Linked DNA regions of Daphnia pulex. The protein of the gene in region 1 purifies or fractionates together with the protein of each later gene. This does not show direct contact. Links are inferred from orthologs where the notes say so. Each region holds a gene or a part of one and is shown on either strand. Other genes may lie near its edges.

What was found.
Region 2: the proteins of anaphase-promoting complex subunit 2-like (region 1) and anaphase-promoting complex subunit 7-like fractionate together in Homo sapiens (co-fractionation; 6 studies listed by BioGRID and IntAct, with this or other methods). This does not show direct contact. The link is inferred for Daphnia pulex from reciprocal best matches to the Homo sapiens genes ANAPC2 and ANAPC7.

Annotation. Positions count from the first base shown.
Region 1 is NC_060023.1:8,674,902-8,679,117, forward strand, and holds the start of anaphase-promoting complex subunit 2-like, read right to left. Parts: upstream 2,815-4,216; 5' UTR 2,703-2,814; coding exon 2,628-2,702; intron 2,549-2,627; coding exon 2,134-2,548; intron 2,071-2,133; coding exon 1,965-2,070; intron 1,898-1,964; coding exon 1,759-1,897; intron 1,682-1,758; coding exon 1,534-1,681; intron 1,476-1,533; coding exon 1,250-1,475; intron 1,184-1,249; coding exon 955-1,183; intron 883-954; coding exon 631-882; intron 562-630; coding exon 145-561; intron 79-144; coding exon 1-78. UniProt on the Homo sapiens protein: Together with the RING-H2 protein ANAPC11, constitutes the catalytic component of the anaphase promoting complex/cyclosome (APC/C), a cell cycle-regulated E3 ubiquitin ligase that controls progression through mitosis and the G1 phase of the cell cycle.
Region 2 is NC_060017.1:4,025,494-4,029,677, forward strand, and holds the start of anaphase-promoting complex subunit 7-like, read left to right. Parts: upstream 1-1,238; 5' UTR 1,239-1,415; coding exon 1,416-1,481; intron 1,482-1,784; coding exon 1,785-2,001; intron 2,002-2,066; coding exon 2,067-2,358; intron 2,359-2,437; coding exon 2,438-2,621; intron 2,622-2,683; coding exon 2,684-2,821; intron 2,822-2,888; coding exon 2,889-2,954; intron 2,955-3,024; coding exon 3,025-3,128; intron 3,129-3,257; coding exon 3,258-3,402; intron 3,403-3,497; coding exon 3,498-3,576; intron 3,577-3,638; coding exon 3,639-3,688; intron 3,689-3,752; coding exon 3,753-3,898; intron 3,899-3,985; coding exon 3,986-4,106; intron 4,107-4,168; coding exon 4,169-4,184. Other genes in the region: myb-like protein K, read left to right, coding at 1-237, 351-973. UniProt on the Homo sapiens protein: Component of the anaphase promoting complex/cyclosome (APC/C), a cell cycle-regulated E3 ubiquitin ligase that controls progression through mitosis and the G1 phase of the cell cycle.

The sequences.
Region 1 (4,216 bases):
TTCCGTTTTTTTCTCACTATCTTCCTCGTCGTCATCTTCTTCTTCTTCCTCCATTTTCGCTAGCGTTTCTAAAAGAATCTACGAAAAGGACGTAATTGCAAAATACATACATTTGAGAAACGGTAATAACTTTTTAAGATATACCTTATGTCCTGTGAAATTTGGTCCATTTTCATCCACTTTGAAGCGATCAGTAGAAATTTCCTGGAGGACCCCGTGTGTTTGCCACACGTGAACTCGCCTTCGAAGATGAGACATTGGTAATTCCATTTCCTGGCTAAGCTCTTCCAAATCCCATTGATCCTTGTCTTCAAAATGAGATATGATGGCAGCCAAATCGGGCGGGACGGTGAAAGACACGCAACGGTGATTATCAAACTCCAGTTCCAGTTCCACAGAACCCGACTGAGGTACCCAATGCAGAGAACGACTCGTTTTCACCGTTTTATAGTTTTGATTATATTGTTCGAGCTGGTTGATGATTTTGATCGGCAACTTCATCGGTTTGTCCTTCAGCTGGTCCCAATACTGAGCTGATATAATCATAGCCGAAATCGGAAACTGGATGGAAATAAATAGAAAAAAAATTAACTTTTATTTATCGATGCGCTAAACGAATTAAAAACGTACTTCAGGTTTGTGCACGACCGACTGTAGGTGGGTGTTGATTCTCTTGGAGTCTGCCACGTCCTTGAGCATCACTTCGCAATTGTGCAATTCGTTTTCTCCAAATCGAATTTTGAGAAATTCTAAATTACGAATCTCTTCTTCTGTGTCAAAATGAAGGTTCAGGAGCAATCGATCCGACAAAAGCTTGCGATATTCCTTGACAAACAGGCTTTTACTGCCGTAGATGTTCACCAACATTGGTACAATATCGCCCTTTTAAATAAGAATTTGTTTTACAGAACCGAAACTATTTTAAAAACATCTTTATTAACAAGATGAAATTACCGGCTTTTTTCCTGTCCAAAGTTTGCTAGGATCGGCATCGCTTGGTGCTGGAAGCCAATTTTCCCAATCGGTTGAGGCTTCGGTATCTCCAACTGCTGCAACAGATTCTTCATCCAGTATAGCAGTTCCCGTTCTTCCCAACTCAAGCTCTCCGCCCAGCTCTCCGCTACTGTCAGTCAAACTGTGAATTATATGCCGAACAGTGTCTCCTCTAAGTCGCAAATATTGCCTGTTGGAAATAGTTGAATACATCATAAGCCAAAAGTGACGGATCGAAATTGAATAATAATAATACTTGATCGGATCACACGCTACATCGAGAAGCACGCCAGTGGGATCAAGTACGCTAAACGCTCTTATGGCCGATACGTAGGCGATTAGTATGTCTTCTGTTGTGGCTCCCTGGTGAAGCAATCTTGCTTCTAAAGTCGTTTTAAGAGACTGCGCCAAAATTGGTTTCAACTGCGTCCGTGAAAGGCATTCCTGTAAATCCTTTACCGAAGGAAAGCTCTCGGGGTAGCCTATTACAAGAAAGATTATGAAACAATGAACACAATACATGATTTGGAATTGACGAACCGATAATGATCTCGAATAACTGTTCGATTCTAGCGTGTGTATAGGCGTGGTACAGGAATTGGGTAAAATTTTTTCGCACTTGATCCTGTTGGATGTAGTCTTCTCCATAGACGATACCTAACCACCGAAAAATTATGTTTTGCAACCACTGCAAATGGTTCAGAACAAGAAACGAACAGGGTGATTCAAATGCCCATTAAGACCATTAGCACATTAATAAAATACCTTTTCAAGCATTTCAATTTGAGAAGAGGAAAAGTTTCCTACACATGAATCCTGGACATGTGATTGGATTTGAGTCAAAATGAGAGTGTGAATCATCCCCACAGATAGTTTCTCAAGTATTCCTATTTCAGCCAAAGCCCTAAAAAAATAAATATGATCAAATGTGCTGAAACATAATCAAAGAGAAAAATGTTTTTTTTTTTTACTTGTTGGTGTTATGACAATTGTCTAGAATGACATTACATTCACATTGATCAATTTCTTGGTCACACCCTGAACAGTGAGTGATAACATCACCAGACTCATCTCCATCTTGAGTAGAAAGATGTAAATTAAAAATTCAATTATAAACCTACTTTAGAACAAGTATAATACCAAAGTTAAAATTCCTTTTTTCTAAAGACATGAATGCTCTGAAAGCTCGGCTGTAGAAGAAATTCACACAGCATTCAAACTTTGGTGGTATCTGAGACAGCAAAATTGCACTGAGGTGTGCCTGATATTGGGCGAATGATTTTGGCGTGACATTTCCTGACAGGTGATCCAACAAGGAAAAGTAATGCTGAAGGCTTTTAATGTCGGTGTTCAGAACTTTAACAGCCTCCCTATAGTTTTCGTAACCAGAATTTTCATTCTGAGTCACTTCAAATCTGGACCAAAAATTAGGGGTTATCCTATTTCGTGTGTCATTGAACAGCTTCTGCCAAACCAATTCCTTGCTGAAGTCTACCAAATCATGGTTAACAATGAATTCTGCACATCCTTCAATTTCGGTTCTGTCTAATTCCTTCTGCATGTAAAAATTCAAACGGTGAGCGTGAAACAAGAGTAATGAAACAAATCTACAAGTAACAAAAAAAGAATCATACTTGACATTTTCCATCAAGGTTCAAAGTTTGTTTCAGATAGTCCCAAGCAGATGAAACTGGCTTCACTGTGTTCATTTCGTGCGAAAATTTTGGGTTTTAACACGCTCTTAGAAAAAGATACAATTTTCATAAGAACTTCAGTTCAGACAAAAACAGAAAATTGTTATTTCAAAAAATTTGCTAATTTCGTCTGCTGGGCTACAAATGTCCACCCGCCAAAATAAAAGAACGACAACTAGAGACGACTGGTGGTAACTATATGCACCAGAACTAAGGAGGCGTCAAAAAAAAAAAATACTTTTCCGGATATAATTCTACAAAAAAGCTTTGGGGCTTTAAATGTCCACCTTCAGTATTTAAAAAAGATAATAAATTAAATATAAGTTCAAACGACATGAACATACACATTCAATCTATTAATTCGCGCAAACATCACGCTTCGATTTCACCCGCGGTCGCAGGGTTGAGTCGCAAGTTGATTTACAAGTAACAATTCTTCATCAAAATGTATAAACTAGCCAGCATCTGGTGCAGCACGAAGCTGATGTCATTTGATAATGTGCAGCATCGCTGCCCGGCTCCATGTGATTAATAAATATGCTGCTGGAAACGTTCATCGGCTGCTGGTCAGAGAGTCTGCGGTGTATAAAAGACGAACGATTTCGCAGCAGCACTCTTGTGCTGTTGCCCATGAAATCCAAATAGTATATATATAGTAGGATGATGTGCCAACTCAACCGGGTTCGTTTTTCTCCTGGAAAAGCCACACACATACAATTCACATCTGCCAAAAGCTAACGGTTTATTCTTTCTGCCTTGCGATGAGAGTCCGGGTGTTGCGACGGCGACGGTGATTCACATGACTGGAGTTGACAGCCAACGACAGCGCGACGGTGGTGGCGGAGTCGACAGTTATTGGCGCTCTTATCTGACGACCCATCAGCAAAATACACCGTGAACATGATTAAGATCATATAATAAAATCATAAAAAGAAAAGAAGAGCGATAGGAAATATCGAATCGTATAACATAGTTAAACGTTTTAAAAAAGAAAAGAAACGAAAGTTGATGGCTTTCATTCTCGAATATTCACGCAGCCGTGATCATCACAGCTATTATGCACAGACACGCCAATTATTGTGAAAGAAAACATCACCGAGAATCGATTTGGATGGGAGGCAAAGCGAAAAGAAGTTGGAATTGACCGGGGCAATGATCATCATCATCACGATGACCCGCGATGAAAATATTTCTTTCTAGGTATTTATTTTGAACGCGTTCATCTTTCACGAAGAGGAGGGATTAGCGGAGGACGGAAGGAACTTCATTTGTGTCTTAGCTAGATAGGCGAAGATATAAGAGAATATCTATAATTTAACTCGAGTTAATCTAGAGAAGGCGGCGGGGCTGGCGGTCCGTTGACCTGTTCACGCACCAGCAGCAGCACCGCCGCGTCGCTCCCGCGCCAACCGAGATCCGACCGACCGACCATCCACCAGACATGGAAGAAACGGGAGGGAAAAATCGCCATCCGCATCACACGCAGCCCATTCGGACACAACCTCCTTTCCTATTTATTCGGCTATACA
Region 2 (4,184 bases), on another chromosome or scaffold:
CAGGAGCCACTGGGCTGAGCGGTGGAAGCGCGGCCGGAATGCAAAGTCCTCTTCAGCAATTGGCCCTCCTGCAGCAAATGACCAACTCCAACAACAACCCCATGTCCATAGCCTCCGAACTGGAGGCACAGAAACAGGAAAACTTCCATTTGCAGAACCAAAAACAACAGCAGGGTCTATTAGCTTCGGTTCACATCAAGCAAGACCAGATTGCAACAGCACAGGCAGCCATAACAAGTATGTATGCGTGTGACACACAAATGACAGTCGAATTCCGTTCACGCCATTAAGAACCGTTTGATCAGTTGATTGACCTCTATCTTGTTTTTCCTTCATTCTTGCATTTATAGATCAGAGTAATATGGTGAACGGCCACCAACCTGGTGCTGTGATGCAAGCGGCGCTCAATCCACAGTTGCAGCAACTTCAACAGAACCTGGAAGCGCAAAAGCAGCAGCTCTTGGTCCAGCAGCAGGTACTCCAGCAGCAGGTGAAACCGGAAGCTCAGCAATTTAACAAACAACAAATCCTGATGGCCCAGCTTCTGAACGAGCCTCCGGCTAAGCGTCCTCAGCTTTGGGAACAAATCAAGCAGACGGTGACGAAACAGGAAGCTGCCATGATGGTCAATCCGTTGGCCCAGCAAGGACAGTTGGGCTTCTCTCAGATGAGCCTGGCGCAGCAGCCGAGCAGAAGCCAACAGGAATTGCAACGATACCAGACGTTGATTCAACTCTTGGGTTTGGCCAATCTGGCCTCTTCAAGCAACCCCAACCGCCAAGGATACTACACCGATCCCAATAGATCAATGGTCGCCGGTGGTCTACCTTATTCATCGTTCGGGAGCAATGCGGCAATGAGCGTTCAGGCCGTACAAATGATGCATCAGCAGCAAATGCTCTTGCTTCAACGACAGCAACAAATGATGATGCTTCGACAGCAAATGGCGATGATGAATCCGTTCATGTTCTAACATCGTCCTCCCTTTAATAACTTTATTCTTATATTTATGTTCCCACACTTTGCTCCCTAAATTAAAGCGTCCACTTAATTTTATTTGCATCTCTCTTTCCTGTTTCTCGTCGAGGAAGGAATAAAATAAATATACATTGTTTTACGTTAGTAAAATATTGAATGTTGTTACTGAATGTTGAATTTGATTAGATAATAATTTAATTTTTTAAATAATTTTAACGAAATTAGTAGATTCAGCATTCAGTACGCTGGTGCGCCGGTAGGCCTACGCTGTTTGTTGTCTCTCCGTACCGATAATCCCGCACTTTACGCGTTTCCAACCCTTCTCTGCACTTTACCACTTTATATTGTGATTTTCTTATTGGTGACTGCTGATCAAGTTTGTGTTATAGTTTTTTTCTTCTCTTTGAGTATATATATTACTTTCAGAGTTAGTCATTATGATTCTTCACGAGCAAATTCAAATGTTGTTTGATAACAAACTTTATACAAATATTGTTGCTCTGGTAACTATATAGTTTCTTGTGCTTTCCGTGAATGTTATCGATAGCTAAATGTCACCATTGTATTGCAATGCTATAAATATTAACAAATGTTTTAGTTATATCATTTATATTTTTGTTTGGGCAGTAGTATCTACTCCTACAACTCATATTATTCCATTTTGAATAAGTGCTACTGGTGACTTTTACCTTGAGTATGACAATAGGAATGAGTTCAGTGTAGATTTCATTCTATTACCATAGACTACGAAGTAGTGTAGTCTATGCTAATTACCAATCTAATGAATATCTGGAATTTTTCTACAGGCTCCAATGGTTCTTTCAGCTACTGATAACAATCCTGAGCTTTTACCTCCTGCAAGCATTGCCCAAACAATGGTGTACCTTGCAGATTCATTCCTTGAACAAAAGGAATATGGAAAAGCAGAAGTTTATTACAGAAAAGCCCTAGATCTGAGAAAAACCCTTTCTAAACAAAGGGGGATGGGAAATAGTGCTGCCAAAGAGCTTTCAGCTGAAACAGGTTTGATGTTCTGTTTTAAAGTATAAACAAGTTTTTCCTAAATAAGTTTGAAATAACAATTCTAGAGATTCGCTATCAAATGCACATATGCCACCTTGCTTTAAAACAGTCAGTGCAAGCACTTCTTGTCCTTCAAGGGATCCCAGCCAAACTACGATCAGTTAGGGTTAATATGGCTTTAGGCAAGTTGTATGTTATGAATGGGCTTGAACGCCCAGCCATTTCTGCTTTTAAAGAGGTTATTCGTGAATGTCCTTTGGCCCTAGAAGCTATATTGGCTTTGATTAAACTTGGAGTTAGTTATGTTGAACTTGTTCGTTTAATTTTTAATGGAAACCCATCAAATAACTTAGATTGGTGAGTAGGCTCATATGTATAAAATGTAAATCTTTGTTGAATAATGTTTATTTTCGTTTTTTTCCCTTAAATTCTGAAGGGTTGTTCAGTGGATCAAAGGACAGTGCCATCTTCATTCTTGTGAATATTTGAGTGCTTCTACCATTTTTTGCCATTTGCAAGATGCATCATTGCTCAAAGATGATGTAACAAATTTGGTATCACAAGGAACAACCCTTTTCTTGGCCGGGGATGGAGCGGGCGCCCTTCTACCGCTTCAACGAGTATGTTAAATGATTTGAGAAAAAAAATATCTGGTGCTCATCTCATATTTGCGTTTGTTCAGGCGCATTCCCTCGATCCTTTGTCGCTAAAAGGAATGGATATTTTAGCAGTCATTTTAGCGAATGAAAAGAAAAGTGTTGAACTTGAAGCACTAGCTCTCAAGCTAATCTCTGTTTCTGATTCTAGCTTCGAATCGTGGGTAAAATTATTTGTTTTTTATTTCTAATTACCCTTGTTCCTGTATTAATTTTAATTTATCAAATTAGGTGGCCATGGGATACCATTATCTTTTGTCACGCAAACTAACTCGCGCTCTGTACCTTGCGCATAAAGTAAGATAGCAATGCCGATGTGGTCTTATTACAAATAGTTTTAAAAACCGCGCAAACATATTTCTCATAGGCTTGCACATGTTGCATTCCAACCCCTGGGATAGAGCCCCTAATCCTTAAGGGTACGATTTTACAAGAGCTTAAAAAATGGCCTGAAGCTATCACACATTTTAGGTAAGTCCTGTGATGTTTAAAAAAAAATTATTGAAATATATTTTTTAATTATTGAGATATTTTTTAAATTTTAGTAATATTTAAAAAAAAATTATAGTAATATTAACAACAAGTTTAACATGATAATAGGGAAGGATTACAGACAGCTCCGCACCGATTCGAAATCTATCGTGGTATAGTTCACTGTTATCTAGCGCTTCAGCGAAGTCGAGAAGCCATGAATATAGCTGCTAGCTCTCTTCATCATATTGGTCATACACCTCGCACTTTCACGGTTAGCATTCTTTACAGTGTTTCGTGTTAATCATTCGTTTAAAGCAGATTTTTATCAAATGAGCCATTAATTAAATTGCTGACTGCTCTTTGCAGCTCTACGCATCCGTCCTGTTGAAGGATCCTGTTACAACCGCAAAGGGCAAGGTTTTCCTTGAAAGAGCTTTGAACATGGGTAAAATTAACATGAATAGTTTCCGGTGTAAAAAAAAAATTGTATAACGTTTTCCGTTGTAGATCCTCGATACACTCCAGCTGTATTCCTTTTAATCGACTCGTATGAGCAGGTGAGTAGCTGTACAATCCTACAGAACCACTCACTGAACTACCATTGACTACAATTATTTTCAGGCTGGCCAGAGATCAAAAGCCATTGAACTGCTTACTAAGCAAATAAATCAGCAACCTACAAACAGGTTACATCATATTTTGGGAGACCTATTCATAAAAAATGGAGATATGGATAAAGCATTGGAACAGTACAATTCTGCACTAATGTACGAGAATCTTTATCACTTGATTTTACTTTAACTTGCATATTCACATACTATGCATGTGTTTAATTTTTTTCTTTGTAATTTTAGGCTTGAACCGAATAACGTAAAAACCATTGAGGCCATCAATAGGCTTGAAAACGCATTGGTAGCTAAACTAGAAAATCATCTGGATTTGGAAGCTGATGATCTTCCTGATTCTGATGAAGAGGTAAATTCAATTTAAAGTGAAAAACAAAATATATGCATATGTTAAAAGCTATCGTTTTCAAGCCAACCATTGAAGAAG